3 linked regions of the Notamacropus eugenii genome follow. The protein of the gene in region 3 purifies or fractionates together with the protein of the main gene of each other region. This does not show direct contact. Links are inferred from orthologs where the notes say so. Each region holds a gene or a part of one and is shown on either strand. Other genes may lie near its edges.

Region 1 (10,737 bases), on a different chromosome or scaffold from region 3:
GATATGAAACCAATTAATGGTTGAATGGTTCGTTGGTTGTTGTCCTTCGTTCTTGAAAAGGACCAAAATGACATGACCATGATAAAGTGAAGTTTCAATATGTATGACTGGCTGATCAGACCAACATGAACTCAGAATACTTTACCACAGTTGGACACAGATAGTCGTGTGAATATTTGGGGTGGTTACTCCACATTTGCGCATCCTACGTTTACTTTGTGCTGTTTCAATTCTGCTTTGCTCATAGAGCACAGCATCTTTTCTGATGTGGGCACGCCATACTGAGCAGTCCTGTGCCAATGTCTGCCATGTTGCACAGTCAAATCTAAAGTTCTTGAGAGAGACCTTGAGAGTGTCCTTGTATCACTTCTTCTGACCACCATGTGATCACCTGCCCCATGTGAGTTGTCCATAAAATAGTTTTTTTGGCAGACATACATTATGTATTCAGACAACATGACCAGCCTATTGGAGTTGCACTCTTTGAAGCATAGTTTGAATGCTTGGCAGTTCAGCTTGAGCAAGGACTTCAGTGTCTGGTACCTTATCCTGCCATGTGATCTTCAAAATCTTCCTAAGACAGTTCAAATGGAAGTGATTCAGTTTCCTGGTGTGGCATTGGTAGACTGTCCATGTTTTGCAGGCGTACAACAATGAGGTCAGCACAATGGTTCTGTAGACCTTCAGTATGGTAGTCAGTCCAATACCTCTTCCCTCCCAAACTTTTCTTGGAACCTCCCAAATGCTGAGTTAACTCTGGCAATGTGTGATCAACCTCATTGTCAATGTGTATATCCCTGGAAAGTACACCACTAAGGTAAGTGAATTTATCCACAGTATTCAAAACTTCTCTATTTGTTGTAACCAATGGTTTCATGTATGGATGGTGTGGTGGTGGCTGGAGTACCTGTGTTTTGTTGGTGTTAATTATTAGGCCAAAATGAGCACAAGCAGCAGAGAATTGATCCATACTTTGCTGCATCTCAGCTTCAGAGGCTGCATTGAGTGCACAATCATCTACAAACAGGAAATCATGCACCAACATTCCCTCTACTTTGGTCTTGGCTTGTAGCCTTTTCAAATTGAAGAACTTACCATCAGTACAGTAGTTGACCTTGATGCTATATTCATCCTCACTGAAAGCATTTGACAACATGGCTGAAAACATCATGCTAGAAAGCACGGGAGCAAGCACACAGCCGTGTTTCACTCCATTGGTGACTGGAAAGGCATGAGAGATAATGAGTCCATTATCCAGAACCCGGGCAAACATGCCATCATGAAATTGTTGAATGTGGAAGAACTTCTCTGGGCAACCAAATTTTGACATAATTTTCCATAAGCCCTGACAACTAATCGTGTCAAAGGCCTTGGTCAGATCTACAAACGTTGTATGCAGACCTCTGTTCTGCTCCTGGCATTTCTCCTGGAGTTGTTGGGCAGCAAACACCGTTATCCACTGTTCCTCAGCCCTTTCTGAAGATGAATGAGTACATACATACATATATGTAAATGAGTGGTAGTTATGTTTCTAATACTACTTTGAAAGAATATCCAGGTAGCAGCCCCTAGTTAAACTGAATTCCCAGGTGCTCAGCTTTTGTTGCCAATATTTACTGTAGCTATACAAAGACAATAAAATCCTTAGAAATCCTGAGTTAATCTTTCCATTAAATTCCTAGGAAGTAGGAGTCATTCAACAGTGTGATAGTCTGGAGCTGTGATAGGGCTGGAGCCAAGAGACATGGGTTTGAATTCTAGATCTGATACTTTTAATAGTTGTAAATCATCCATAGCGTACTATGACCTTGAGCCTCAGTGCTTTCTCCTATAAAATAGCGATAATAGTACTTACTCCTTGCGTGACTAGGGTTATCATGAGGAGAGTGCTTTATAAACCATAAAATACTAAATCAACTTAAGTTGTTATCATACAAAATGTTTTAACTCTGAATTCTCCAGAACCTAGCACAGTATATTCCCCATATCTCAGATTTAGAAGGGACTCTGGGAGTCAGTCAATAAACTAGCATTAATTAAACACCAATTATATGCCAGGCATTATACTAAGAACTGGGGATACAAAGAAAGGCAAAAGACAGTTCCTACTCTCAAGGAGTTCACATGGGGGAGACAACATGCAAACAAGTCTCAACAAACAAAATACACACACACACACACACACACACACACACACACACACACATAAATGGGCAGCTAGGTGGCGAAGTAGGCTAGAGTGCTGGGCCTGAAGTCAGGAAGACCCATCTTCATGGGTTCAAATCTGGCCTCAGACACTTATGCTGGGTAAGTCACTTAACCCCTGTTTGCCTCAGTTTCCTCATCTGTAAAATGAGCTGAAGAAAATGGCAAAGCACTCCAGTATTTTTGCCAAGAAAACCCCAAATGGCGTCAAGAAGAGGCAGACACAACTGAAAAAAACAACCAAATGACAACAATTCATGGTCATTGTCTAATTCAATAGTGAACTATGTCCAGTATTTTGGACTGATATTAGAGGGAGTCTCCAGACTGCAGTGTCTGATTGGAGTCTTTGAGCATAATGTGGCCATTGTTAGTTTGAATTCAATGGGTATTTCAGTGGAGATATTTTTAAAATGATTTATTGTACTTTTAGCATCTGCCAGGAAACATAAATATTCAGCCAAATAGGAAAGAAGATTAAATTGTACATGGAACTGTAAACTTCTACTATGGGGTATTTTAAAAGTGTTAATATTATCTTTCACAGAGTGGTAACAAAATTGTTCTATTTGTTTCTATGTCCCCTTTTATTTTCCGGTCAATAAAACCCTTAGGGTACTTTCCAAGTAGTAGTCCTAGGGATTAAGTGAAGGGTTAAAGGATATGAACAGTTTTGTAGCCCATATTGTATACTTCTTTGTTGCTTTTCAAATAGATTGTAGCAATTCACAGTTTCACTCCTGGTTATATTGATCCTATTTTGCCTAATCACTTGAGTATTACATTTTTATCATTTTTAACAATCACTGCTTAATTGATGGATAGAATCAATCAGGTAGAATCAATCTCAGAGCTGCTTTAAATTGCATTTCTCTAATAATTCATTACTGCAGAATTTAAATACACATTACTTTTACTGTCTTCCATTTTCAAAGACTGATGGAAAGTTCTTCGTGTTACCAAAATGATCATTCAGAGTTCACCACTTTTTTCCATATTGCACATACACATGGAGGCTTAGTTCATTGATATGTGGCTGTAGGTCACTACTCTGCTGCTTCTCATCCTTGCAGCATGCCTGAGTTTTTTTGTTCAACAAAACCAGTCCAATTCAGATGGCCAGGATTGCGGTCAGGAATGTGGCAGAAGGGATCTTTCACTGAAGAGGGCAGAGGGAAAGCAGAGGGAGAAGAAGGAAAACCATTTTATCAGAGACGGAGACCTGGAAGGGATCTATCTTAGAGGCCATCACATCCAACCCTCTCATTTTACAGAGAAGGAACTTGAGGCCCAGACAGATGAAGTAATTTGCCCAAAATCACACAAACAGTAAATGGTAGAGCCAAGCTTTGAACCATGTCCTCTGATTCCAAATCCAGCTTTTTTCCCCACTCTACAATTCTAGGAAAAAGAGGTGGTTGGATCTGATAATCACTAAGGCTTCTTCTAGCCCTGAAATTTTGATTTGATAAGCCAAGTTTACCAACATGGCATGTCATCTCCTGTGGCTTAGTGCATCCTAAAAGCATTTCTTCTACCACCTCCATCACCCCAACATCTCCTTCCTCCCTTTATGATTTTCCCAATTGAACTCTCCATATGACATTTTCAACAATGATGTTTGAATTAAAACATTCCCATATGAGGATTAATTGAAGGGAATATTTAGCCTAAAGAAGAGAAATCAGGGATTGTATTCAGGAATTAGAAAAGCTATCAAGTGAAAAAGGAATTAGCCTTATTCTACTGTACTCTAGAGAGCAAAAACTAGGATCAGTAGATTAAAAATAGATGGATAGGACCAATAGATAGAAATAGAAGAAATATAGATTTCAGCTCATTATAGAGAAGAACTTCTAAGTAAAAAGAACTCTGAAAATGGATTGAAATGCATTAGAGCTATTAGAGATGTTCTAGAAATTTCTGCTTGAACACTCATCAGGCTTGGCACAGGACCACTGACTGGAGAGTTGGACTAATCCAATCCATCAATCAACATTTATTAAGTACCTACTATGCCAGTTGCTTCGATAATAACTGGAGATACAAAAAGAGGCAAAGGACAGTTCCCTTAAGGAACTCATAATAGACGTTGCAAATAGTAACTAGCAAACAAATATACACAAACAAACTGTACACACACACACACACACACACACACACACACACACTAAACAAGAAGTAATTAGCAAGGGGAAAGATACTGGAATTAAGAAGGGTTAGGGAAGGCTTCCTGTAGGAGGTGAGATTTTAGTTGGGAGAAGCCAAGGAGGTCAGTTGTCAGAGCCAGAGGGAGAGTGTTCTAGACATGGGGGACAGCCCTGGAGAATGCCCAGAGTCAAGAGATGGCCAGTGCCAGGGAAGGAAGACTGTGTGGCAGGGAGAAGGTTAAAGAAAACTGGAAAGGTAAAAGGCAGCTAGTTTATAAATGGCTTTGAATGCCAAATAGAGCATTTTGTATTTGCTGCTGGAGGCACGAGGGAGCCACTGGAGTTTACTGAGTAGTGAGGGAAGATGACATTGCTGGACCCACACTTACAGAATATCACTTTGGTGACTGAATGGAGGACAGATTGGAGAGGAGAGACTTGAGGCTGGCAGACCCCATCGGCAGGCTACTGCAGTAATGATCCAATTGCAAAGTGATGAAGACCTGCACCATGGTGGTGGTAATGTCAGAAGAGAGAAGGGGACATATTTGAGAGATGCTGGAACATGGAAATCAACAGGCCTTGGCAACAGGTCAGATAAAGGGAGTGAAAGAAAGTGAAGAGTCCAGGATGACTCCTAGGTTATGAACCTGAGGGACTGGGAACTCTACAATAACAGGAGGATAACAGGAGGGGAGGGTTTAGGGCCAAAGAGAATGAGTTCCATCTTGGAAGTGTTAAATTTAAAATATCCAATTGTATCAAGCTAGAGATAATTGAAAGGCAATTGGAAAGGGGAGATTAGAGGTCAGCAGAGATTATGGTGGGATAGACAGATTTGAAAGTCATGAATATAGAGATAGTAATGAAATGCATGGGAGTTGATAAATCACCAAGTAAAGCGGTATAGAAGAGAAAAGGGCCCAGGACAGAAGTCTGTGGGACCACTTTGCTATCTAATGGTCCTTCTAAATCTGAGACTTGGTTATTGGGGAATTTTCTTGACCTCTTGGGAGCCTACCCATCAAGGGTTGGTAACTGAGCCAAAGATAAGAGGACTTGCTGAAAACATTCCAATAACAGCAAATCAGCTTTCTGGTGTGGACTTGGCTTGTTTAGCCTTTCACAGCCATGGCCAATGGCAATGGCATTTCAGCTTGTGAGACCGGTGGCAATTGAGCATAGATAGAGAAGTAAAACATTTCTCTGTAAACAGAGAAATGAGTCAAGGGAGAAAAGGGGAATATTTGGAATGCCAGTGGCAGGCTTTATACATTCCAGTTCCAGGGCAGGAGACAAAGGGAAGAGCCCCAATACTTCTACTGTGGTGAAAACAGCCCTTTAAACAAAACGGCCGGCTTTCTTCATCCTAAGACAGCAAGTATGGGTTACCACAGCGGTTAAAGCCCACCTGCCGCAGGCTTTCCGGTGCCCTGGCTTGGGGGCTGGAGACTGCGATGTTGGGCACTGCTCAGATGCCACCGAGACGTCCTGAAGTGACTGTGGTTCCTGTTTCTCCCCCTACAACGGTTCGTTCAGAACACTTAAAATATCTTGTTGGTAGACAGCGGCCAAGAAGCGGGTACGCAAAAGACGGCGAGCTTCTCCAGCCGCAGCGAGGCCCACGCGGGTCCTGGCCCCACGACGCAATCCTGTTGCCCTTCCGAGTATCCTCTCCTGGCATCTCAGAAGCGGGCTTCGCTCCGGAGCCCTTGGTCAGGAGATCAAACGGCCGTCCAACCGGGCACCCACAGCGCAGGAGCTTCCTGGGGGCACTGCCCATCCGGGGCCCGGGCACCAACTGGCCCATGCCCAACACCTGCCCTCCGGGGCATGCCCAGCACGCCCCAGGTCGTGCTTCACCGATCGTGGGGGACACACGTTTCCAGCGACCACCATCCGGACCGGTCGCCCCACCCGCAGAGAGGTTCCCCCTCCCGGGCCTCGCCACGCCAGGGCCACGCTGCCTCGGGCGGAGCTAGGTCAACGCCCTCCCCTTCCAGGGGCTCATTCTACACCTGGGGAAACTGAGGCTCGGACAGGAGAGAGCAAGCGAGTGGCCCAGAAAACACCGCGAGTCCAGGAAAGAGCCCGGATTGGAAACCACGTGTCCCGCCCCCAAGACCAGAATGGGTGGGAGGGAGGGAGGCGGGCCGGTCTTCCAAGACCAGCGACCACTCTTCCTAGAAAGGCTCTGACTACTCCAGAGCGGAGGCGGTGGGCGGGGCTTAGCCGTCCTAGTCCTTCCGGGGTGGCCAGCCTCGCCCGGCCCCTTTCCTTCCGGGTTCGGGGCGAGCGTGTCTCCTTCGCCTGCGGTCCAGCCCCCCTCCCTGGTCCGCGGGCGGACACCGCCACCGCCGCCGCTGACAGAATGAGTTTCCTGAAGAGTTTTCCGCCGCCCAGCCCAGAAGATGGGCTTCGGCAGCAGCAGCCCGACACCGAAGCGGTGCTGGACGGCAAGGGCCTGGGCACCGGCACCCTCTACATCGCCGAGAGGTAGTGGCGCCGGCTTGAGGGGATGAGCGCGGGCGCGGCGGACCTTAGCGCTCGCCTAACTCCCGCCCCGTGCGTGGGCGCGCTCTCGTAGCCGGGGGCGGGGGGCGGGGGAGGAGACGGGATGCACGCATGCGCGCGTGTGCAGGTGTCCGGCGGCGGAGCCTCCTCGTGGGCGTCCCGGGCGGGCCGGGGGCGGTTGTGGCCGCGCTCGGAGTTCTTTGCCCCTGGGCGGGGCGCGGCGCGGGGCTCCGCTGGGGCGCAGACCCACTTTATCCCGCGTGTTTGCCCCTGGGGGGCGCGCCCCCTCCCCCATCGGCCCGCGACCGCTCGAGAGGGGGCCTGGCCGGCTCTTCCTCTTTGTGTCCCCGGCGCTTGGCGCAGGGCCCGGCGCGCAGTAGGGGGGCAATGAGTATTTGCTGACTGACCCGTAGACCCGCCGCCCGCACCGACGGAGGACCGGCCCTTGAGGGAGCTCGGCGTGGGGCTCCGTTTGCCCCTCCCGCCCACGGAGCCCTTCGCGACCTCTTCTCGAGGGCGTGGTTAAATTGGGGAAGTAAAGCCGCCTGTGGCCGTGCCTTCGGCCGCGAGCTAACACCTGTTTACCAGCCAGCCGTCTGTGCGGGAGAAATCCGCAGTAATGCCCCTGCCTTGGGGGAACTGGGGAAGGCTCTTTGGAAAAGGGAGGAGAAATCCCTCCAGCCCAAAAAGTAAAGTTCTGTCGTTCAGAAACGGAGCTGCTGCGGACTGAGAGCCGCGAGTGTGCGGAGGAAATGGGAGCGTGGGGCTACGGGGGAGCCAGAATCCCTGACCCGTGCTGAGATAGCCCCTGTCCCCTGGCGGGGAGATCCCAAAGCCGGCAGCTGTCCCTCCCTCTTAAAGGTGCTGGGGAAGAGTGCCCTCATGGTGAGTAAGCACAGTGCCAGGTGCTGGGCACCTGGAGAAGGAAGCTGAGGTGGGCCGAAGTTAAGTGACACCCCCGGCCCGGGCCTTGTAGCCGCCTCCAAGGTGTGCCCTTCGGCACGTGGTGCTGTAATGGGGGCTTCAACCAGGAAACATCCATTGAAAGCCTTTGCCTAACGAGTATCGCTCATTCCAGATACGTCTCTCGCCCAACTTGAGCCCTTTCCCCTCTGCCTTTCCTCCATTCATTTTCCACTTTGACTGTCCTCCTTTGGCCTTCTCCACCATCCCTTACCCCCTCCCCCACCTCCCCTTCAGCTTTCTTTTATATGTTGTCTTCCCTCTTCAGATTTCTAAGTTCCTTTAGGCAGGGACTGTTTATCACATTTGTATTCCTTGTACTAGCACAATTCTTGGCACATAGTGAGTAACGCATAATTATTGACTGACTTACTGAATTCTGCCATCCTTCCTTCTTACTGCTCCCAGATGAACCTTTCTGCCAAGTAAAGTTCATTCTCTTGCTTGTCTTTGAAGATTCTTAAAATCTGGTAGCACCCTATCTTTCCAACCTTATCCTGTTACACTGCAGCTCTGTGTTTTCCTGCCATTCTGAGGTTCTCTGTGCCTGAAGTATTCTTCCCTCCTCTTCACCTCTGATTTTCTGCTCATCTTTTCAGGCCAACTCAAAATTCTTGCTTCTTCAAGAAATCATCTCTGAGTCTCCCGAATCAAAAACAACATCTTTCCATACAGTACTGTTTTTATGCTTGGATAATTCACTTGGGTATTTTATAAGATAGTTTATCTATACATACGCTTTATCGTTAGATGTTAAGCTTTATGAGGGCATAGGGGAAAGATTATGAGTTTAATTTGGGACATGTTGAATTTAAGGTGTCTGCTGGACCTTCAGTTGGCAGTGTCTGAAAGGTAGTTGGAGATGGGAGACTAGATGTCTGCAGAGAGATTAGCTCTGGACAAGTAGACCTGAAAGTCATCTGCATAGAGGTGATTGAAACCGTAGGAGTTGTCCGTTGTAACTTGGAAGCTGCTAAATCTTGTATGATCCTAACCTGTGGCTCCACAATATTTGTTTCTTTCTGGCTTCTTGCAATAGTTCCTATTTGACCTGGAAGCTTTGGAATTTGGCAGTGATATTCCTGGGAGTTTTCATTTTGGGATCTCTTTCAGGAGGTGATTGGTGGATTCTTTCAATTTCTGTTTTACCCTCTGGTTCTAGAACATCAGGACGCTTTTCCTTGATAATTTCTTAAAATATGATGTGTAGACTCTTTTTGTTCATGGCTTTCAGGTAGTCCAATAATTCCTAAATTATCTCTCATTCTTTTTCTGAGGTCAATAATTTTTCCAATGAGATAGTTCAATTTTATTTCTTTTATTGTTTTTACTCTTTTGACTTTGTTTTATTGCTTCTTGAAGTCTCATGAGATTGTTAGCTTCCACTTGCACAATTCCAATTTTTAAGGAATTATTTTCCTCACTGAGCTTTTGTACCTCCTTTTCCATTTGTCCTATTCTGCTTTTTAAGGAGTTCTTTTATTCATTGAATTTTTATGCCTCTTTTACCATTAGGCCAATTTAGATTTTTTAAGGTGTTATTTTCTTTAGTGTTTTTTTTGGGGGGGGGGGGGCGGCTTCTTTTACCAAGCTGCTTATTTTCTTCATAATTTTTTACATCACTTTCATTTCTTTTCCCAATTATTCCTCTATCATTTTCTTTAACTCTTCAAGGAATTCTTGCTAGCCTTGGGTCCAATTAGCAGTTTTCCTTGTAGCTTTGCTTATGCCTATTTTCACGTTGTTGTCTTCTAAGTTTATGTCTTGGTCTTCCCTGTCACCATAATAGCTGTTTATGATCAGGTACTTTTGTTGTTGCTTGTTCATTTCCCAGCCTATTTCTTCTATTTGAATTTTATGTTAAAGTTGGGTTCTGCTCACCTCAGAGTAGGGAGGTGTTTTGCCAAGCTTCAGGCTTTTTCATGCTTCTGTTTTCAGAGCTAGTTCTAGAGACTTCTTAGTGCTACTAAGGTCGTGTTATTCTGGAAGAGGTATGTCATTGCTCTCCTGGTCTGCACTCTGATTTTTAAGGAGGAAGGGCTCCTGTTCTCCTGAAGCCACAAGTACTAATGCCCCCTTGTGGCCTACCACATGTACTTTTCTCTTCTCCGGAACTGGAACCCAGAACTGCTTGTAGGCAATACAGTTGCCAATCAGTGCTAGCTGCACCCACTGCCAGCAGAAGGTCCCCTGTCATTTCTTTCTGACCAGTTGTCCTATCCTCTTACTGTTTTGGGGCCAAGAGCTGAAGCTGCTGCTGCTACTGTTGCAGCTGCCTTCAAGGCACAGTATTGGCTAGTGCTCCTTCTATGCTCCAGGCTTGTGTCCACCCTGGTGTTACTGAACTCTTCTCCTCACCTCCTTAGTAGTCTCAGACTGCAAAAAATGTCTCCTTCTGACCTTTTGTTGGCTCTGCCACTACAAAATTTGATTTGAGGAGTTCTGGTTCCTGGCCTGTTCTCTGTCATATTAGAAAAATCTAGGGAAAGAATTCTTGAATAAAGGATAGCAATCAAAAAAGAGAAAATAGCCAGTTTTATCAACATAAAATATAAAGACTTTTGCTTGAATAAAATCTGAAGACAGAAGTGAAAAGGTAGGGTGGGAAAACAGTTGCATCAGATATTCTGGTATTCAAAATAGAGAGGTTATAAACATAAATATAGTAAACCAATAGCTATTTTCCAAAGGTCGAAGGAAATGAACTAATTTACAAAAGGTTTGCAAATTTTTGACCACATGAGAACATGATCAGAATCGCTAATAGTAGGAAATACACATGATATGCTTTCAAGTTGGATGATCCAAAGACATCTCAATTTCAGCATGTCCAAAATTAAACCCTCCACCCTTCCAAACTTCCCATTTTCTGTCAAAGGCATCGTTGTCCTTAGGGATTCAAGTT
Region 2 (10,779 bases), on a different chromosome or scaffold from region 3:
TCGACACATCCCACCTCATCACAACCTGGCCCTCATCAAAACCATTCTGAAAAAAAAAAAAAAAAAACTTAACTAATTAACCTAAGCATCCCATTCGCCCTGGGAGCAGCAAAAACCTGCAATCAAATCACTGACTTCACAGAGACTATATATATAATCCCAGGCCTTTACTGATCAACAGCAACAAGACAGTGACACAAAGGCAGTGCTAGTAAACAGTTTTACTGAGCGACTTCTTTTAAAATATGTGTAAGAGAGACAGGCACCAGGAAGCCATGAACCTAAGCTGGCTCAGAAACAGCCAATTAAAGGGGGTGGGGAATGACAAAAGCAGCTTTCTGATTTTTCAACTTTTATTTAAGAAAAAAAAATCCCCCAGCAGGATCCTCCCCTTCCTCTAATGCCACACAGTGCCCACTCTAGTTTCAGGCAATATTGTGCCAACAAAACCCAAAAGAAAACTGGAGATAAAGGGTTTCTTTCCCTTTTTAAACACAACAGTCTATGAAAATGCAGCAGCTTCCAGGATCCATCCCAACACTGTTTCCCAATGTAAGGTTCCACCTCCCAAACAGGAATGCAGGAATTCAATGGATGGGAAGAAGGCCAAGGGGAGACCCTCCAACCCAGCCCACAAGGCAGGAAAGCATCCCAAAGTTTCAGTCTTCAGCATCATCAAACTGCCCCGTCTCAAACACCATTTTGGAATAGTGGGGAGTCAAGGGGGCAGGGTGGTGCCAGCTTGGGTCATAGATCATGTCTCCTTGCTGGGCCCGAGGTGCCCAGAGACAGAATTCTTGAATGCTGGCACGGTGGATGTCGTCAGCACCTAAAAGAAGTTTCAAAAAATAAAGGAAAAAAGCCCCTGTAATTAATTATAGGCAGCTGGGGGGTCACAGGCCTGCACCCATACATGGGAGGTGCTGGGAAATCAAACACTAGTTTCAGTTCTTCCAGGGCCCAAAGGGAACACCACACCTACCGTACGGATTCCCTTGGTCAGCAATCAGCTCATTGTCCCAATCCTCCTTAACAGGAGGCTCAGCCTTCTGCTCTGTTGGGATAATGCTCTCCATCCCATCTTCCAGCTCCCAGTTCAAGTCTTCCTCAGAGTCCTCATACTCCTGCATCTCATCATCTTCAGGATGGTCACTCTCCCCTTGCATGAGTACATTCTGGGCCCCACAGGCTGCAATGCAGGCAAAGAGAGAAGGAAAAGTTCTATAAATGTTTGATAAACACAAGAATGGCCATCAGGTTGTTCTGAGTTCTTCAAATAAAAGCAAATTCCTAACGGAAAGGATAGCAAATTCCCAATTAACAACAATGACAGAGGAAAGTGATGATTAGGATAACACAAATTTATTTCTATTCGGCTTTGGAAGACAGTCTTATTTTTTTTTCCCAAAAAATAAATCTTATGTGTACACATCTCTATATGTAAGTCACCAACAATGGTTTCCCAACTATAAAAAAAGGGGCTAGACAAAATCAGCAGTTTCTCATTTGCATTAGAGCCTTGAGGGGACAAGGTATCTTGTGAAAGCCCCTCAAAGTAAGATCTAAATCCCTAGCATTGCTCACTATTACATAAGTAAATATGCTTCTGTGTATTAAACAGTGTCTCAAACCTTTAAATATTACTAATTTTTCAAATCTACACAGACGCTGTTTTAGTATCAATTTGTTTAAAAGTATTACTCAATTAATAGGAGACTTTTTATCCTCTAGTTTTCCCAAAGGATCCAAAGAGCATCTAAAGTTCTACTACATTTTTTGATGTCACACTTGAATAAATTGGATACCACTAGATAATTTCTACGCTCCTTAGGGCTAAATCCAATGATTCTCAATGTACACATATGCATGCACAGATAAACATATATGAAAGGCAGCACTGTATCTTGAAGAAAGAACACTCAAGTCTGAGTAGTCTCATCTCATTACTTCTCTGCCCCTCATCTCCCCATTTAGCATGGGGAGAGAGAGCACATTAGGACACAGTTTGGGAACAGGGACCCTCGGAAGATCCTGGCCACAAGAGACATAGGATGGGCAGATGGGAGAAACCATCAGTATTACTTGAATTCAAAAAGGCTTTGTGGTAAAAGCCGGATTTTAGGAGCCATCTAAATGATGAAAGAAAATCTGGGGCAGATAAGAAAGTTCTAGATATCTGATGCAGCTTGGGCAGGCAACTCTGAGGGGAAATAATCCACAAAAGAGGTGGTGTACAGCTCAGAAAAGAAGACAGACTAGACAGGATGTGGAACAAAGAGAAGGCAGGAGATGCCAAGGCACCCACCTCAGGCTGCACAGGTTGAGGATCTCAACCCAGATCCCAAGGCAGGGTGTAGTATCTTTAATTTAGAACTTAACCTAGAATAAGGTGCTCTCAAGGAACCACAAAGTGTTGGAAGGAACCTCCATGGCACTTAGCAGCAACTTTTTAGTCCAACTCTTAATGAAAGGGAAATTTTCACCAAAGCACACCAGACAGGGGTCATCCAGCTACAGCTTGAAAGTTACCAGACAGCAGCCCACTACCCTTCTGGGAAGCTCATGGTTAGCCAGGGTTTCTTGGTAACAAATCTCCATCTGCCTCTTCGTAGCTTTCATCCACTACCCCTGGTTCTGGTCTCTAGGGCCAAGCTGAACCAGCACAGCATAGCACGGGGACTGAGGACACCTCTGTCTCTATCACTTACTCCCACCTTCTGACCCTGAACATCTGCCTAGTAATGGTTACTTGCCTAGTTTTGGTCTCCATCTCATGACCCCATCCTCATCTCCTTCCTTCTTTTGATAGATGTGGTCAGACATAGCCAAGCTGACCTGAACAAAGGAAAAACAATTAGGAACTTTGTTTCTTGGCTGAAAGAAAATAACCATCACTTAACAGTAATATTTTTGTAAAAGTAATTTGGGCAACCAGCATGCTTTCTTCCCACACCATTACCCAACAAGCCCATCTAAATGTTCTCTCCTTCCATTCGAACAGCCCCTCAAAGTCTCAATGCTCCTCAAGATACTGTCTCAAACTGAGAAGTGATAAGCACCCACGTGTCCCAGGCCATCCCTTCCCCTCTCTGGGCCTCATCTGTAAAAGGAGGCATCTGACTAGACACCCCTGGAGATTCCATCCATCTCTTAATGATACAAGCCTCTGCACATGCTTCTCCCTGCCCAGTCTGGCCATGGAATGATGAAAAAAAATCTACTCTACAACAGTCTACTCCCTCCCACCCCTCACTTATCCTTTCTCTACGATAAAGGTTATCAACCTAGGGCTGTGCACTAGTTTTTTAAAAGTTTGATCCCTGAATTTCAATAACTGGTTTCAGTTCTGTATATTTTATTTTAGGCATTTAACAACAATGATTCTGAGGGTCCTTCAGTTTTATCAGTCCAAGAGGTGAAAGGCATAAGAAAGGTAAAGAACCTTTACTCTCCTCATCCTGACAGAACGTGCACAAAACCTGCATGCTGACCACCATCTTGGCTTCTTATCTGGGGAGTTTTTGTCTTCTTGGGGTGAAGTATAGTTTCCACCTATTCACTGATATTTCTCTCACTAGGGCAGAACAGAACGAGTATAGAGGACCTTAGTCCGTTTAAGGAGCCTTTCCAAAGACTTACTAAGCCAGGCACAATGTGGAGTTGTGCATACAAAGCCAAGGTTTGCTATCTGAACATCTGCAGGTAACCAGATAGATGACTAATGTTTCTTAGGGTATTCACGCAGGGTCCCCCTGAGGTCAGGATCTGACCTAGGACTGAATAATTTCCTACCACCAGTACATGCTTTCAAAGACTTTCAAGGAGTGAAATAGAACTCCTGGCATTCCGTGGTGGGCTGCTTGCTTTAAGGGCAGATTCCTCAAAGCAGGAGTTCTTAAATCTTTTTTGCACCCTGGATGCCTTTGGCAACCTGGTGAAACCTATGAACTACTTCTCAGAATCATGCTTTTACATGCATAAAAGAAAATAAGTAGGATTACACAGCAAACCAATTACACTTTAGTAAAGATGTCATTTCTTTCCCCATCAAGTTCACAGACTCCTCAGATCTACCTAAGGACCCGTGGCACAGCAGCCCAGTCCTGTTCCTGGGAGGAATCTCAGCAGAGCAGCGCAGGGAGTGCCGCCGGGCCTGACATCCCTTCACTCCTCACCAGCCTCGGGGAACCCCAAGATAGCGAGCCCCCTCCAGCTGAGCACAGGGCCCGGCACGAGTGGGCACTTAAAAAACCCGAAGTACCTGCCGGTTGGCCGATTCTCCCACAGTAGATGCCACCTGAAGACTGGAGAAGCCTCCTTACCGCCCCCTCCTCTGCCCCCGGGGCACAGGGTCCCCGAAGGCCACTACCTAGTCGGGAGTGGGCTTCACAGGTTGTATTAGAAGCGGGGGGAGAGCGCGGGTAAAGAACAGACCCAGGAGAGATGGGGGGAGAAGGCAAGTGAGGGGCAGGGGAAAAGTTGGGAGAGGCTAAGGAGGAAGGGCAGGAGGAGGTGCCCGCCGGATGGGGGAGGGGCAGGTGGCTAGGGGCCCGTGGATGGGACGGCTCAAGTCTGCGGCCCTCGGCCTCCCGCCCTCCCTCCCAGCTGTGGGCCTCCCGCCCCGGCCCTGAGGGGCCGCGCGGAGGGACCGTGGTGGCCCCGCGCCGCGGCCTCGGTCCCGTCTCGGGTGGGCGCGGGGGGCTCCGGCCTTACCGTCGCTGGGCTGGGCGGCTCCTCCCGCCGCTCCGGCTCCGGCAGTGGCTCGGGCGGCGGCGCCTCCTCCTCTTCCCCAGCCCGCGCGCCCCGCGGCGGCGGCTCTCCCTCCGGGGCTGTCGGCCCCTCACCGCCCCCGGCCCCCGCAGCCAGCGGCTCCATGCCCGCCAGTCCCCGAGGCGCCACGGCCGCCGCCACCGCCCCCACGTGACGACCTCCCCATGCTGCCGGCCGAAAGGCAACAAGGAGCGCCAATCAGGGGCGTGGCTTGGGTCACGTGGTGGACCCGGGGGCGTGGTCTGTCTGACGCGCTCGGCCATTGGCGGAAATCCCCGAGGATGTCCCGGCCGGGTGACCCCTCCCAAGGAGCCGAGATGGGGCTTAGCCTTAGCAGGTGGTTGGCCTTGGCCTAGAGGCCGGGGTCAGGGTGAGCCAGCTTCGTCAATCCCCAAAGAGGACGACCTCTGGCCGGGCTGCTAGGAGCCTCGGGCGCCGTCCAGCCCAGAAGCCTCGAAGACGCGCCGAGGGGGCGGAACACGGCCCGGACCCGCCGGCTGCCGCCAGCCCGGGGCACATGGACCACTCCTCCAGACGCGTGCATCGCCCCTTCCGGCCAGACAGACCTGCACTGGGCACTCGACCCTTTCCAGTCCCGGGGCTGGAGGGCACGCCCTCCTGACCCCTACCTTCAGCCCTCCCATTTCCTTCAAAGCCCCGCTCATCTAGAGGAGCTCCCGTCTCCCCCACTACCTGGCATCTCCGATATAGCAAGCTGTCTCCCACCAAGATCCGCACCCTCGCGACCAGGACTTCGGCAGCCTCCGGCAGCTGGTGCGGGGCAAATTCTGATTGACGGACATTGGCGGAGCCTCGAGCAGAGCCAAACCTAGAAGCTTTGTGCTCTCCTCCAAACGCGTGTCTTCCCTGCCCTTCATCCTCTGCCTAGGTGAGGACTTGGGCAGAAGGGAGAGAATTTGCAAAAGCCTCATTCATCCTAAACCCAGAATGAAAAGAGCCTTTGAAACCATCCAGTCCAGCCCCCTCCTCTTTTTAGGCCTTGGGTCCCACTGGGAATTGCCATGGTCTGTCCTGCAGAAGCAGCAGAACTGGATGACCCACATAACCGACCAGCATCTAAAGCTACATACCAGGCACTATGCTAGGTGCTGGTGACAATGAAGACTCTTACCGAGCTTCCATTCCAGTGGGGGCCACTTCAAATGCAAAGCACATATAAAATACGTAACATACCAAGCAGTTATATGCAGCACTAGGGAAATGGGGGAGGGAGAATGCTGGGCCTCTTGGGGCAGAGGCAAAGGCAGTAACTTCAGGGGCAAAGGTCAATGCTGAGGGGTTCAAATGGCTGATCCAGAGAGGCCCAAGGAGGGTCAGACGCCCAGATGAGCATGGGGCAAGTGGAAGAGGATCATCCAACGGGGCCAAGGGATGATGAGCTTTCAAAGCTACTTGGTGTTTTCTCCTATTTAGTATTTACATTCATTCTGTGCTAGGTGGGCAGGAACCTGTTGTACAATCTTCGAGCTCCAGAGTTAATTGGGTTTAAGGTTTGGTCTTTGGGCAGGAAATCTAGCCAGTTAACCAAAAGGAAAAAAGGTAACTTTTGGTCATGGAAGTGTACTTCCCCCTGGGTAGAGCACCCCAGGCAAGGGCAGAGAAGAGAGGAACTGCTACTCAAAGGTTGTGTTTATCCTTCATTCTCAAAGAGGACCATGACGTCAAGATGATGACATGACTTGCAGTTGACTTTGATTTGAGGGAGGCAGGACTATGCAAGGTCACCAGCCTCTTTCTCCACCAGAACCACCTGGATCCAGGGACCAGATATTCATAAGGACAACTGGAGATTACCCAGGATGCAACGTGGGACCCTGACCATTTTCGGCTAAGGTCTTAGATTCTCATTTTGAGTGACATACACCCATTCAATGAATAGGCTTCTCTAAGTAATTACTTAAGGGATGGCCCCTTTAATAACAACAACAAAAAAATCAAACTGGGAGGGGAAGACCCTCAGCGTTCCTGGGTAAAAGAGAAACAGTTACTATTTAATCCTCTCCTCTCCTCTCTGACGTTCCCCGGGGTGCTCTACCCAGAAAAAAGTAACTGCCAGAAGCTGCCTTTTTTCCTTTGGGTTTACTGGCTAGATTTCTTGCTCAAAGACCAAGCCTTGAGCCCAATTCACTCTGGAGCTCAAAGACTGGACAACAGGTCCCTGCCTACCTAGCACAGAGTATATGTAAATAGTAACCGTGTCTTTTACCCAGGAACCCTGAGAATCTTCCCCTCCCAGTTTGATTTTGTAACTATTTAGAGAAGCCCATTCATTGAATGGGTGTATCTCACTCAAAGTGAGAATGTGATAAAACCTTAGCCTAAAATGGCCAGGGTCTCACATTGCATTCTGATGAATATCTGGTCACTGGACCCAGATGGTTCTGGAGGAGAAAGTGAAGCTGGTGACCTTGCACAGCCCTCCCTCATTCAAATCAAAGTCAAGTGCAAGTCATGTCATCATCCTGATGTCATGGTCCTCTTTGAGAATGAAGGACAAACACGTTTTCTCCTAGAAGCAGCAGGAAGGGGTGTGACAATCAGATGTGCTTTTACCTAGTGCCTCTAAAGGGAAGGAACTGGAGGCAAGGAGCCCTGTAGCTTCCAAAAATTGTAATATTTCTGTATGATCCCATAATTATACTCTGTATTCACCTCTGATAATTAATTCCTCCAGAAGTCTCATTAGGACCTTCTTCAGGAGTTCACCAACCCCTTTCCTCCTTAACCCCATACCTTCCCCACTAACCCTGTATCCTACAGCGTAGGCTGGGTAGCCCAACCAATAAAAATCATCAGAGGATGTTCCTCCCTGTGCTCTACTTCCCATTCTGACCTGGCCTATAAACTGTGATCTTCAGCTGCTACTAGACCCACAAGATGGGGGCTAAGTGATAGGAATCACCCCATACAGTACAGTTCAGACCCAATTCTCTCAGATGGAGTATTGAAGTCCTTTGCACCAGACATGAGGGGCTTGTGCTTTTAGTTAACTGTGACTCATCTCACCTTTCCACACTGCCATCCACTACCACAGCATTATCACCTGTGTCCATGATTTCCAAATCTATGTATTGAACCCAAATCTCTCCCTGGAGTTTGAATCTTGTATTTGCAAATGTCTACCTGAGTATCTCACAGACTTTTTTAAGATTCCCAAAATGTCCCCTTCCTCACAACTTCCCCATTTCAGAATCAGAGTTGGACTTTTAAATGTAATCTAGTATAACTCTCAACTTGAAGCAAAAATTACCTCTCCAACATTTCTAACAACTGGTTACCTAATTGGGACTGAAGACCCATGATAAAGGAGAGCTCACTACTTCCTGTCCATGCCAAGATTACACAGCCCTAGAATCTCTAAGAAAATTTTCTTTAAGAGTCAAAATCTGCCTTCTCTAACTTCCAAACATAACTTAGTTCTGCCCTCTGAGGCCAGGCAGAACAAGTCTGATATATCTTCCCCAGGATGGCCTCCCAAATACTTGAAGACTGTTATCACATTTCATCCCCCTCACTACTCCTCCAAGCCTTCTCTTCTCCATGGTAAATGTCCCTCCCACCACCATCTTCCCAGTTATGGGCTCTAAACCTCAGGCTCCCCTCTTTAAGCCCAGCTCCAAACTTCAACATCACCACTTTTTCCCATCCTACAATTCCAAAATTTTTTGCAACATTCCATGTGTACAATTTGTCCTTGATAACAAATTGTATCCTATTTATGCCCATAAAGTATTCTTTGCTGTTCTTTAAGTAATTTCCAATCTTGATTCTTCAGGACTGGCATTTCATTGGCTTGTGACTATGTAACACAAGTGGTTAATATAATGCAGTTTGCTAAGCATGAGGACCCCCTGCCCTAAAACTGTCTTCTTCTAGGTCTGTAATATTTTGTTAAGTATTTTCAAAAGATAGGACTGCCAAGAGTGTGTCTTCTCCCTCTATTAAACTTCATGAGCTCAAATACACTTTGGGAGTTTTTCAGAAAAGAAATGTTCTTGTTGCCTTTCAAAATATAAACAAACAAAACCCAGAAGGGACAGGACCAAGAAGACGAGGACAAAAACTTATTCCCTCCACTCAGGAAAGAAGAATGATTGATGTTCAGGTTTTGTCAGTTCTGGAAAAGGTCAATGGGAGAGTAGACGTTTGTTTCTGTTCTGGATGGACAACAGTCTTTCACTAAATTCTCTCCTCCAGATAAAGCCGTCAAATGGAAATCCAAGAAGGAGCAAGTCTCTTAGTTAGGAGTCAGAGAGCAGAGTTCAGTATTTACTGGGAATCAAAGGCAAAAATCTCTGTACAAATGGTAGATCCACCCGCAATGTCGATCTACCACAAGGGTTTATAAAAAGAGTTCACAAGTCCAGCTGTTTACTCTTCCTACAACTGGCCAATCTGCAGTAAAGTGTATTTGGCCACAAACTCCTCCACCAGCTCTCCCTTCAGCATCTTCATGGCTCTCCAATGGATCTGCCCACAGTTCTCTGGTTTGCCAGAAGGGTGGTTCAACTCTTCCTTGATGTAATCCAACCACAGGTCTTAAAAGAAGAAAAATCAGTCACACCAGTGTATGCACCCCACCCCCCAGGCATGCTGTCCCAGCAAAGAGCAGGCCACTGGCCTTCACCAGACCCAAGAGTTCTGGAGGCCAGAAGAGCTCAGGTCACTCAAAAAATGATGCTCTTAGGTTAAGGGTCTTCATTTTTATATATGTGTATTCTGAAGATAAAGCTTTAACCCAATTCACTCTGGAGCTCATAGACTGGACAAGTCCACACCCACCTAGCACAGAGTCAACGTAATTACTAAGTAGTAATTGTTTCTCTTTTACCCTGGAACCCTGAGGGTCTTCCCCTCCCAGTTTGATTTTTTTTTTTCATTAAAGGGGCCATCCCTGGAGTAACTACCTAAAGAAGCCTATTTGTTGAATGGGTGTATCTCACTCAAAGTCAGAATGTGATAAGACCTTCACCTGAAAGGGCCAGGGTCTCACCTTGCATCCTGGGCCATCTCCAGCCGTCCTGATGAATATCAGGCCACTAGACCCAGATGGCTCAGAAGAAAGTGAAGTTGGTGACCTTGCACAGCCCTCCCTCACTCAAATCAAAGTCAACTGCAAATCATGTCATCATCTTGATGTCATGGTCCTCTTTGAGAATGAAGGACAAACACAACACAATGTGTACTCTGGTAACAGCACTTTGTTATAATCAGTTTCCTTTAAAAAGTCCTTATGTAGTTTAGGGATTTTTTTAAAAATGTGACTGAGAAGGGGCTCAGAGGCTTCACTAGACTGATGGCCCAAGGGACCCAGGATACAGAAAAAATTAAGTACAAATTTACCCCTCTCCACAGATAAGACCCAGACTCTAAAAATATGTTTACAAGAGAGTCAGTCACCCCACCTCCATCTCCACACACACACTTCCAACAAAGAAAAGGTTCCTTACCGGAATTCACAGAACCAAACTCTCTCAAGGCTCTCTCATAGTATTCTCTTAAGTTCAACATCTTGCAGGTTTCCTAACAAAACAAGTAGACAGGAGAGCTCATGAAACAGAACAATCCTCCAGCAGGGGCCTGACTCAGCATCAGAAAAGAAGCTCATTCTTTTGGCCAAATCTCCTAAATCCCAATTACTTCATCTTCAACTTGTTTCCTTCCGTCATATTCTCAAGAGAAGCTGATCCATATCATTACCTATGCCTTCATATAACAGAATCCTGTCCTTCGCTCTCTCAGCTCCAGGGTTGTTTTCCATGTGCAGGTAGAAAGAGGCTGCTTTCCCAGCAGCGATCCTAATAACACCTTGGTGCTTTTGCATGCAAATCCAATTACATTTTAAATTCACCTGGGAAATGTCTATAATGTAAACGGAGGTCACTTAATTTATAGACATTTTTTCATAGATGTTGTTCTCCTAAAGCCAGATCCTGACTCCCGTATTTTTCTCCTATGTATTTTAGCTTCTGATTCTTCTCTTTTGCT
Region 3 (10,307 bases):
GCTCTCAATTACAACCTTGGTTTCATCTTTGACTCTACTTTTGCATCCCTCTGCAACATAATCTGTTGCCAAATCTGGTCATTTCTACCTTCAAAATCTCTCAAATGTCTCATTCTCTCCACTCACAATTATAACCCTAATTCAGGCGTTCATCTCCTCTCCCATACCTCTGCTATATCTTTTTTAACGCCTCTCTGCTTCAAGTCTCTTCCCACCCCAATCCAGCCTCCATTCAGCTGCCAAGGTGATCCTTCTAGAGCACAGATGTGATCATGCTGATCCCCCTGCTCCATGAGCTCCAATGGCTCCCTATTGCTTACAGGATCCAATAACAAACTCTTTGGCATCTAAAGCCCTTCTTAACCTGCCTTTTTCCTGTACTTTACCCCACTCCACATACTCAATGACTCAGAAACGCTGGCCCACTTGCACTTCCACTCTCATCTCTGTGCCACTGTACTGGCCTCCACCCCCATCCTACCTCACCTCACCTCTTAACTTCCCTGGTTTTTCCTTCAAGACTCAACTCAACTCAAATCTCTTCTTCTGCAAGAGGTCTTTCTCTACCAGATAGATGCTAGTGTCCTACTTAGTCAGACTGCCTCCCATCTACTCTGGACAGATGTTGTATGGACCTAAGTTATTTATAATGTCTTAGTCATTAAAATATAAGCTCTGAGAGCACAGGGACTGCTTTTTCCTTCCTTTGTTTCTCCCCAGTACCCAGAACACAAAAAGCACTTAATAAAAATGAAATGAAACAATGTTCCATACAGGGAAACGTTACATATTATGTAGACTGGTGGGGATATGTCTCAGCCACTGAAATGTGATCTCCTAGAGCAAAGGAACCATTTCACCTTCCTTTGCTTCCTCAATGCTTACACAGTAAGCACTTACTAGGTATCCAATAAAAATTGAAGAAAAGAATATCCTGAAGAGAAAAAAAACATTACATGGAATATATAAATCACAAATAAACAGAAAATAAAGATAAAAAGGAGAGTTTTTTGGCCTGAAATTTCTACAATTAACAAATATAAACACAAACTTATAAACTGTAACCAAAAGTATAATAATAAATCATCCTAGTTAAATACTCAACTCTGCTTGACCCAAGTTATTTTTATAACTGACACTTACATAGCACTTTTAAGATTATTAAAAGCGTGTGTGTGTGTGTATGTGTGGGCACGCATGTTCCTAACAATGTTATAAGGTATGCACTACAGGAATTACTTCCATTTCACAGTTGATAAAACTAAGGTTCAGAGACAGGTTTTGCCTATGGTCACAGAAGCAGCATTCTAACTCAAGTCTCTCTAGATTTCAAGTTCTGACCTCTTTCCATTATACCACAATGCATAGGTAAGATTATTTTTCCCTAGTGTTATAAAAATCTTATTTTTAATTTTTCTTTATACTTTTTTTACGTCTTGATTTCCAAATGTCTCTCCCCAATTACCAAAAGGCCGAATCTTGTCACAAAGAATAAAAGAAAAAAAAGAAAAACATTCAATTATAGTTCTCTACCTCTGCAAATAAGGTGTAGTTTTAGATTATTTGTTAAGTTCTTCTTTTATAGATCCATAAATGTTAGATTTTAATTTACACAAAATAAGTACATGCAGTCCCCTATGGAGGCAGTGTGGTCCAATAGCAAAAACATTGGGTTGGGCTCTCCAACTTCCAATTCCACCTCTAGATTTACTGCTAGTCTTCATCTCCCATACAACTCCCATACAACAAGGAGTCTGGAAGAGATGGGCTCTTGGGTCCCTTCCGGTTCTAGATGTATGACCCAAGGTGCATTATCACCTCACCTTTCAAAAACCAGAATAAAAACTGAACAGTTGAGAAAGGCAGGTATGAAAGCTTGCATATTCTGTCATACACTGTGAATGAGTTGGCTTTGATGAATTGGTTTTTTTCCCATTTTCTTCTTTGTATCAAGGGAAGGCTATATTTGGAAATGAATGAAATGTTAAAAACAAAATATAGAGATAGAGAAAAATGAATTAGCAAGAAGAAAAGATCATTCTAGTTGATCTTTTCTAGGTATTAAGTTCTAAAGCAGAATCTATATTTCAGAGGGTCAGTGAATCTGAATGGGAAAAAAATTACATCTTTATTTTCACTAACCTTTTAGCTGAATTTTATCATTTCCTCCAATTATGACTGTAGGCAACAAAACATTCCAAAAAGGGGCCTACAGACTTCACCTGACTATCAAAGTAGACCATGGCAGAAAAAAAGGTTAGCTGATCTTGTTTTAGAGCAATACAGTAGATATGAAAGCTTGTATTAAAAGCAAACAGGTACATACTAGAAAGATATCAAAAACTCATTTATAAAATACCTGTGGGTTACTGCCTCCAGATGAACAAGAGCCCTTAGTAATTTTCCCAACTTCATCATCCCAGTCCCAATCATCATCATCATCATCATAATCTTCATAATCATCTTCCTGAATTTCTTCATCAACTTCATTCAAAGTCTGGTGAGAATTTTTAGATGTATCTTCCTCCTCTTGGCTTGTTTCCATGCTGGTTGTACTTCCACTAAAAACAGGAATTTTTCAGATGATGTTACATGCGATCTAAGGTAACATGACAAAAATGCCACAGATGTGTGAATCTCAAGTCATTAGGAAATTCAAGGCATTTGTACTTCCATTTAATAATAAGAGACACTTTTACAAAAAGAAATAAAAACTTAATCAAAGTTAATTTTTTAAAATAACTAAACAAACTTCAAAAAATACAAACGGGTGCAGATTAAGATATATATTTAATGGCCAAGAAAGGGATTTATTTTGTTTCACTATGCATATTTATCCCAAGGATTCTGGGATTTTTTCCCCATAGGTAAAACAAAAACAAAGATTTATTGTTAATTGAAAACTTTTTTAAGTGTTGTTTTTAAAAAGGCACAAAATGCTGTATTTTGAGACATCTGGAATCAATGTACACACTACTGTGTTTACGACAACACTGCAATTGTGGACATATTAACAAAATATCACCGTAGCCTTTGAAAATAGCTAAGGCAATGCAAGGATCTAAAACATTTCCAAAGGACCCCTGATACAAAATGTCACCCACATCCAGAGAAAGAACAATGGAGTCAGAACCCAAATTGAAACAGACTATTTTTTCTTTTGTTATGTTTGGTTTTGTTTAGTTTCATTCATGCTTTCTCCCATTCGTTTTAATTCTTTTATGCAATGTGACTAATGCGAAAATGTGTTTAATAAGAATATGTGTATAGAGCCCATATAAGACTGCATGCTGCCTTGGGGAGGGAAGGGGAGAAAATTTAAAACTTACAGAAGTGATTGCGAAAAATTGAAAACAAATAAATGAATAAATTTAGAGGGAAAAGTAAAAAAAAAAAATAGGACAAGGACCACACCAAAAAAAAAAAGTGAAACAATGCCAGAGAACTTATGATGAAATATGCTACTTTACCTCCTGAAAAAGAGGGGATGGACTTTAGGGTACAAAAAAATCAGTAAACATAGACACCCAAAGTCTTCCTACGGTTTTAAAAAGCACCAAGACTTTTGGGTCACGCTGTATCTTTTGGACAAGTCCAAAGCAGAAATTGTTTCGTTTGATTATGCAGATGGCTTTAGCTTGATGTGGAGGAGAGAGGGTCAAGGATGGGGCCAAGTGGACAACGATGTTCGCTCCTCAAAGAAACTGAACTGAAATAAAATCAACTCGGTGAAAGGCTTGGAATGATGGGCTCTGATGACAAAGACACCTCCTGACCCCAAACACTTAAAGGGGGGAGTCTGCAGGACCCTTAGCTCGGAGGGTCTGCGTGCGGCCACGTACTGCGGCCCAAGGCAGGAAGCGGGGCAGAGGAGACGGAGCCCCGGAGCGCAGGGGGATGGGACCCCAGCCCCACGCACGCCGCTCGGGTCCTCTCACCTGTCAGAGGAGTCAGCATCATCGAACTGCCCCGGGACCGCCCGGCTCATGAGCTGCTCCCGGTAGTTCATGGCGGAAGCAGGATGCGCTCGCCCGCCGGGGCTCGATGGGGTGCCGGTGGCACAGGAAGCTGCAGGGGCTCCGGGCGCCCCGGCTCCGAGGATGCTCCCGTCACTCCCCGGGCCCACGTGGTCTCCGGCTCTTCCACGCAAGCCGCGTGCTCCACACGTAGAGCAGAACGGCTGGAATTCACGAAGGTACGGAGAGCCGAAAGGGACAAACAATAAACACGCCCCCTCCCCCCCAAAAAAACCAAGGACTCCGCGAGTTAGCCAACGACAGCACGGATAAACGACTGTTCCTTTAACTTCACCGAACCCCGGAGAAAGTCCTGGCAGACCGGAAGTTGGTAACTGGAGTCACCACGGCAGGAGCAAATAAAGAAGCACGGGTGCAATAGGCCCACATAGACCAGCTCGGCCGTTGGCTCCGCCCCCTTCCCCCGTACAGCTGCAGCCAATCCACGCCCTGAGCTTCTGAAGACACGTGAGGAGAGGGGCGGGGCTAGAGAACGCGTCAGGCGTGTTCTTCGCTCTGGGATTGGCTGATCGCGGGCAAGTTGTCACAACTGTGGAATCTTGGCGCCGCCTGGCTCCCAACAGCCTTTATTTTCCAAAGCCATCTGTGGGAGTAAGAGGTCCCACACCTCTCTTCCCGCACACGGCAGGCCGTGCGGGAGGAACGAAGCACTAGACCCGGGCTGCAGACCCAGGAACGCTCAATGGAGCCCGAAAGTGAGCACATGAGCATTTTTAAAAACTGTTGGGGGGCTCTGGTGACCATCAAAAGAGAAATGTGAAAGAACTTTGAAAAATGAAAAAACATACTCTTAAAGAAAACGATGAATCTTCTAGTGTTTTCCTGTAAGTGCAAAGTCTCCTCTTTAACTCTACCTTAAGAGCAGGAATGTGCTTTGCCTCTCCAGAAAGGGGTGGTGTGCTACCGGTGCGGAATGAGGTATATTACAAGTTATCCCACGTGGCCAATTATATTGGGTTTTTTGGGTTTTTTTAGTTTTACCTCGAAGGACTGATTGGGGTATGAGGGAGAGTTGGGAGGAAAATACCACACATTTATTTTTTTCAAAAGAGCATTAATGTAACAGCTGGATTTTTAAAAGAACAGCTGTGGAGTAAATGGATTCAGGTATATATATGGCTTCTAAAAGAAGTGGGGGCAGTACTGTGTTACTAAAGCCCAGGGATATGATGGGGAGAGGGAAGAAAGCCTAACTTAGGCTCTGGAGTTTGTTTTTTAAGCGTTTTGCCCAGATTGTATAGAGGGGGTCTGGGGGAAGAGGGGTGTAGTTTACTGCACTATGAAGAGTGAACAGATGCAGAGGGTAACTAGAAATTTGAGTCCTCAATCAAAATTGATAGACTACAACACTTTCTTTTTAAAAATTCAGCAAGCTTTGAATGCCAAACTCACATTTATACAGGCTTAAGGGGTATTGAGTGCTTTACATACATTATCTTACCCTTTGCAGTCTAGTTTTGGGCCTCATCTCTGCTGTTCTCTCCGAAATAGCCAGTGTTTATTCTGATGTTCTCTCACTCTCCATTCTCATTGACCTGTCAGATGCATTTGAGTGTGTTGACCCTCTCATATTCCTATATACTCTCTCCTTTCTTAGTTTTCATGTCAATGTTTCCTCCTGGTTCTCCTAGGTGTTACTCATCTGACCTCTTCTCCATTTCCTTTGCTGGATGTCCAAATTCTGAAAAGTGGGTATACCCCTAACTGTGGTAATGTTTGTCCTTGGCCTTTTTTCTCTTTTCTTGCTTAATTGACATCATCAACTCTCATGGGCTTCATTATTGGAGATCTGCTCAGTTCCCATGGATTTAATTACAAGTTCTATGCTGATGATTCTCAAATCTGCCTATCTTGTCCAAATCTCTCTGATATTCTCCAATCTTGCATTTCCAACTGCCTTTTAAGACATCTAAAACTGGATTCCAGTAGATATTTTAAATTCAATATGTCCAAAATGGAACTCATTTTCTTCCCCCTAAACCCTGCCATCCTTGGTTGATCAGTCACATCCAGCTCTTTGTGACTCCATTTGGGGTTTTCTTGGCAAAGATACTGGAGTGGTTTCACCATTTCCTTCTTCAATTCATTTACAGATGAGGGAACTGAGGCTAACCAAGTTAAGTGACTTGCCGAGGGTCATGAAGCTTGTAGGTGTCTGAGGCTAGATTTGAACTTAGACTCATCTTTCTGACTCCAGACCCAGCACTCAGATCTACTGTGCCATTTAGCTGCCCTCCATTCTTCCCTGTTACTATAGAGAGCCACACCTTCTTCCCTATGCCTCAGGCTCACAACTGTTCAAAAGTGGTCACAACTCCAAAAGACTTAAGTCATAACTTATTTTATTGCAGGAACATGCATTCTAGGTCCCTTCTTGTATAGAGTGCAGAGGAAGCCAACAATGCAGGCAAGGCCTTGAATATGTAAGGGTTATGGGATGAGAGAAAGGCAATAATTGCCTCTCAAAGGATAGTGGCATGGGAAGGGAAAGGGAGCAGTAGGATGAGGAAGCAGAAAGGCAGAAGCTCAATCTCCTCCTCCTCCCCATGGAGGAAAGATATTCTGCTTATCCAAAAGGGTCTCAACTACACAGTTTATCACTGTGGGTTATGTTGGTCGGAGCCAGGTTTGTAGCTGACTTAGCTTCAAGGGCACGCTGAGAGTTTAATAAAGTCCAACTGCAAAAAATCACTGTTATGTTAGTTCAGGGGGGCTTCATCTCTGGAAAATAAGGCAACTCAAGAAAACAAGGTCACAGGCCCCTTCACACAACCTAGGAATCACCCTGGATTCCTTACTCTCTCTAACCCTCCACACCCAAGTTTTTGTCAAAGCCTTCACATCTTTTGAATTTGCCTCCCTTCTCTCCTCTGATGCTGCCACCACTCTGGTACAGGCTCTCATCACCTCATGCCTTGATTATTGCAATAGCTTGAAATAATCTTCATGCTTTAAGTTTCTCCCTGCTCCAATCCACTCTCCATTCAGCTACCAAAGTAAAGTTCCTAAAGCTCATGTCTGACCATGTCACCCCATCCCAACTTATTAAACTCCAGGCTTCCTATTACCTCAAGGAACCAATACAAAATGTTCTTTTTTTTGGCATTCAAATACCTTCATAACCTAGTTCCCTCCTACCTTTCCAATCTTCTTACACTTCACTCCACACTGTGTACTCTTTGATCCAATGACATTGGCCTCCTGGCTCCATCTTTTAACTCCAGGTATCTCTCTGGTCATCCCCCATGCCTGGAACACTCTCCCTTCTCTCTTCCAATTCCTGACCTCCCTGATTTCCTTTTAAGACCCAACCAAAATCACATCTCTTACTGGAAACCTCTCCCAGCTACTCTTAATTCCAGCACCTCACCTCTGCTAATTATTTCCTATTTATCCTGTGTCACCTGAAAATAAATAACCAAAGAGCCACAGAAGTTACACACCAAGTGTTAACTCTGAAAATACCAAAGAGCTCATGGAGGTTGTACCTCAACTATTGACGCTGAAAACGTAAGCTCTCAGGCTATGAGCAAAAAGCCTTCTTTATTCCATTGGAAGAGGGAAACTAAACGTGTTCCAGGGCCTCCTCTAAGACTGAGGAGACCCACGGCTTTGAGGCTAAGCCTTGATACATACAGTTGTGGATAGACAAAGAACCAGACAGTGAGGTGTAACCAAAGCAATGAGGCAAATTTGCCTAGTGGCAAAAAAGTTTATGCATAGTAGGGCTTCATGACCACAGTGTGGTTCATGCAGGTGCTTATCTGAGTTCAGGAACCACCTGGGACTGGCTAGATCGAATTCTGTGATTTAACTGCAGCAGAATTCATGCAGAGGATGAGCACAAAGGATTTTTGTTATGCCAAATTCAGAGCACATATTGCGTACTAGGCCTTAGCTCTGGAAAACAAGGTTTCTCCTAATAGTAAGAAAAGAGAGGAGTGGTCTTGCCTTGGAGGTCCTGACACCTGGATATATCTTGTTTTGTGGGGGTTTTTTATGTCATCTCTCCCATTAGATTGTAAGTCCTTGAGGGCAAAGACTATCTTTTGCCTCTTTTCATACCCCCAGTACTTAGCAGTGTCTGGCTGTTGTCTTTCATTCTCAAAGAGGACCAAAATGACATCACCATGATAAAGTCAAGTTTCAATGTGTCCAACTGTGGCTGAACAGACAAATATGAGCTTGGAATGCTCTACCACAGACTGGGCACAAATAGTCTGTGTGAACACCTGAGGGGGATACTCCAAATTTGCACGTCCTACACTTACTTTGTGCTATCTCAATTCTGCTTTGCTCATAGAGCACAGCACTCTTTCTGATGTGGGCACACTATGCTGAGTGGTCCTATGCCAGTGTCTCCCATGTCCCTCAATCAAATTCAAAGTTCTTGAGAGAGACCTTGAGAGTGTCCTTATATGGCTTCTTCTGACCACCGTGTGATCGCCTGCCCCATGCGAGTTCTCCATAAAACAGTCTTTTTGGCAAGTGTATATTTTGCACTCGAACAACATGACCAGCCCATCAGAGTTGTGCTCTCTGAAGCACAGTTTGAATGCTTGGCAGTTTAGCTCAAGCAAGGACATCAGTGTCTGGTATCTTATCCTGTCAGGTGATCTTCAGAATCTTCCTAAGACAGTTCAAATGGAAGCGATTCAGTTTCGTGCCATGGCACTGGTAGACTGTTCATGTTTCACAGGCATACAACAATTAGGTCAGCACAACGGCTCTGTAGACCTTCAGTTTGGTAGTCAGTCTAATACCTCTTCTCTCCCAAACTTTTCTTCGGAGCCTTCCAACCACTGAGCTAGCTCTGGCAATGCTTGCGTCAACCTCATTGTCAAATCCCTGGAAAGTACACTACCAAGGTAAGTGAACTTATCCACAGCATTCAAAACTTCCCTGTTTGTTGTAACCAGTGGTTCCACGTATGAATGATAGTGGCTGATAGAGCACTTGTGTTTTCTTAGTGTTAATTAGTTGGCTAAAATTAGCACAGGCAGCAGAGAATTGATCCATACTTTGTTATATCTCAGCTTCAGAGGCTGCATTGAGTGCACAATCACCTGCAAATATAATTGATTTGATTGACTCCCAAGAGCCATAGATCAAGCCCCAAGTTTTTCTTCTGAGGTCTAGTTTGTCATCACCAATTGGCCTACTAGATATTGCCAAAGAAATGTCCTTTAAGTATCTATCATGTCCTAAAACAAAATTCATTATCTTTGACCTTAAACTCCTTGGTCCACTAAGCTTGCCTGTGATAGGTACTGCCATTTTTCTAGTCGTACAGATTTGTAATGTTGATGTTATCCTCAACTTCTCACTCTGTTTCATCCCACATACCAATCATTTGTCAAGTCTCACCATTTCCATCTCCACCATATCTTTCCCATCTCTTTGTTCTTACACAGACACCACTTTAATTAAAGCTTTCTACCAAATGCCTGAACCTTTGGAATGAAGTCTTAATTTGTCTTCCTGCCCCAAGTCTCTCCCTATACCAATCCATTTTCCATGCAACTTCCAAACTGATTTTTTTAAACATGTTGTTCTCCTCAATAAACTCCCAAAACTCTCTATTTGTTGCCTTTAGAATGAAATATAAATTTCTCTGACATTTAATACTTTTCACAACCTGTCTCCAACTTCTTTTTCCAGACTTATTCCAGACTTATACATTACTTCCCTTCCTGCCCTCCAAGGTACAGCTAAACTGGCCTTCTGTCTGTTCATCACACATGGTACTCAAGACATAACTCAAGCACCACCTTATGCACAAAACCTTTTCTGATTCCTCTGCCCCATCAACTTCTATCGCCCTGCCTACCTACCTTGTATTTAACCAACTTGTTTTTATTTTGTGTTTATTCCATATATATTCAGTATATACTTATGTTTGTACATATTGTCTCCCCTGAGAGAATGTAAGCTTCTTGAAGGCAGAAGTTGTTTCTTTCTCATCTTTTTTTGTCTTTATATCCCCAGCACCTAATACAGTCCTTAGCATGTCGTAGAAGCATAAGAAATGTTTGCTGATTGACCTTATTTGATCAGAGTACTATGCAAGGTGCTAGGAAAGATAAAAAGACTAAATAAGATAAGCTTCAGCCTCGTGGAGCCTGCCCTCCAGTAAACATCAATAAAACATTTAAATAAGATACATACACAAATAACTAATAGGCTATTACATATGAATTAAATGCCTAAGAGAAGTGGCAACCAAGTATTGTGGATGCTTGAGGGTGCATGTTGGGTATCCTTTCTAGG

The links.
Region 1: the proteins of RIOK1 (region 3) and CLNS1A purify together in Homo sapiens (affinity purification with mass spectrometry; 3 studies listed by BioGRID and IntAct, with this or other methods). This does not show direct contact. The link is inferred for Notamacropus eugenii from reciprocal best matches to the Homo sapiens genes RIOK1 and CLNS1A.
Region 2: the proteins of RIOK1 (region 3) and COPRS purify together in Homo sapiens (affinity purification with mass spectrometry; 3 studies listed by BioGRID and IntAct, with this or other methods). This does not show direct contact. The link is inferred for Notamacropus eugenii from reciprocal best matches to the Homo sapiens genes RIOK1 and COPRS.

What each region holds. Positions count from the first base shown.
Region 1 is NC_092876.1:125,810,069-125,820,805, forward strand, and holds the start of CLNS1A (methylosome subunit pICln), read left to right. Parts: upstream 1-6,420; 5' UTR 6,421-6,726; coding exon 6,727-6,851; intron 6,852-10,737. UniProt on the Homo sapiens protein: Involved in both the assembly of spliceosomal snRNPs and the methylation of Sm proteins.
Region 2 is NC_092873.1:311,904,607-311,915,385, reverse strand, and holds COPRS (coordinator of PRMT5 and differentiation stimulator), read right to left. Parts: upstream 4,969-10,779; 5' UTR 4,876-4,968; coding exon 4,714-4,875; intron 2,836-4,713; coding exon 2,754-2,835; intron 1,190-2,753; coding exon 983-1,189; intron 830-982; coding exon 660-829; 3' UTR 336-659; downstream 1-335. Other genes in the region: UTP6 (U3 small nucleolar RNA-associated protein 6 homolog), read right to left, coding at 9,172-9,329, 10,242-10,314. UniProt on the Homo sapiens protein: Histone-binding protein required for histone H4 methyltransferase activity of PRMT5.
Region 3 is NC_092875.1:177,886,558-177,896,864, reverse strand, and holds the start of RIOK1 (serine/threonine-protein kinase RIO1), read right to left. Parts: upstream 4,185-10,307; 5' UTR 4,010-4,184; coding exon 3,939-4,009; intron 2,562-3,938; coding exon 2,360-2,561; intron 1-2,359. Other genes in the region: CAGE1 (cancer-associated gene 1 protein), read left to right, coding at 4,840-4,861. UniProt on the Homo sapiens protein: Involved in the final steps of cytoplasmic maturation of the 40S ribosomal subunit. Involved in processing of 18S-E pre-rRNA to the mature 18S rRNA. Required for the recycling of NOB1 and PNO1 from the late 40S precursor.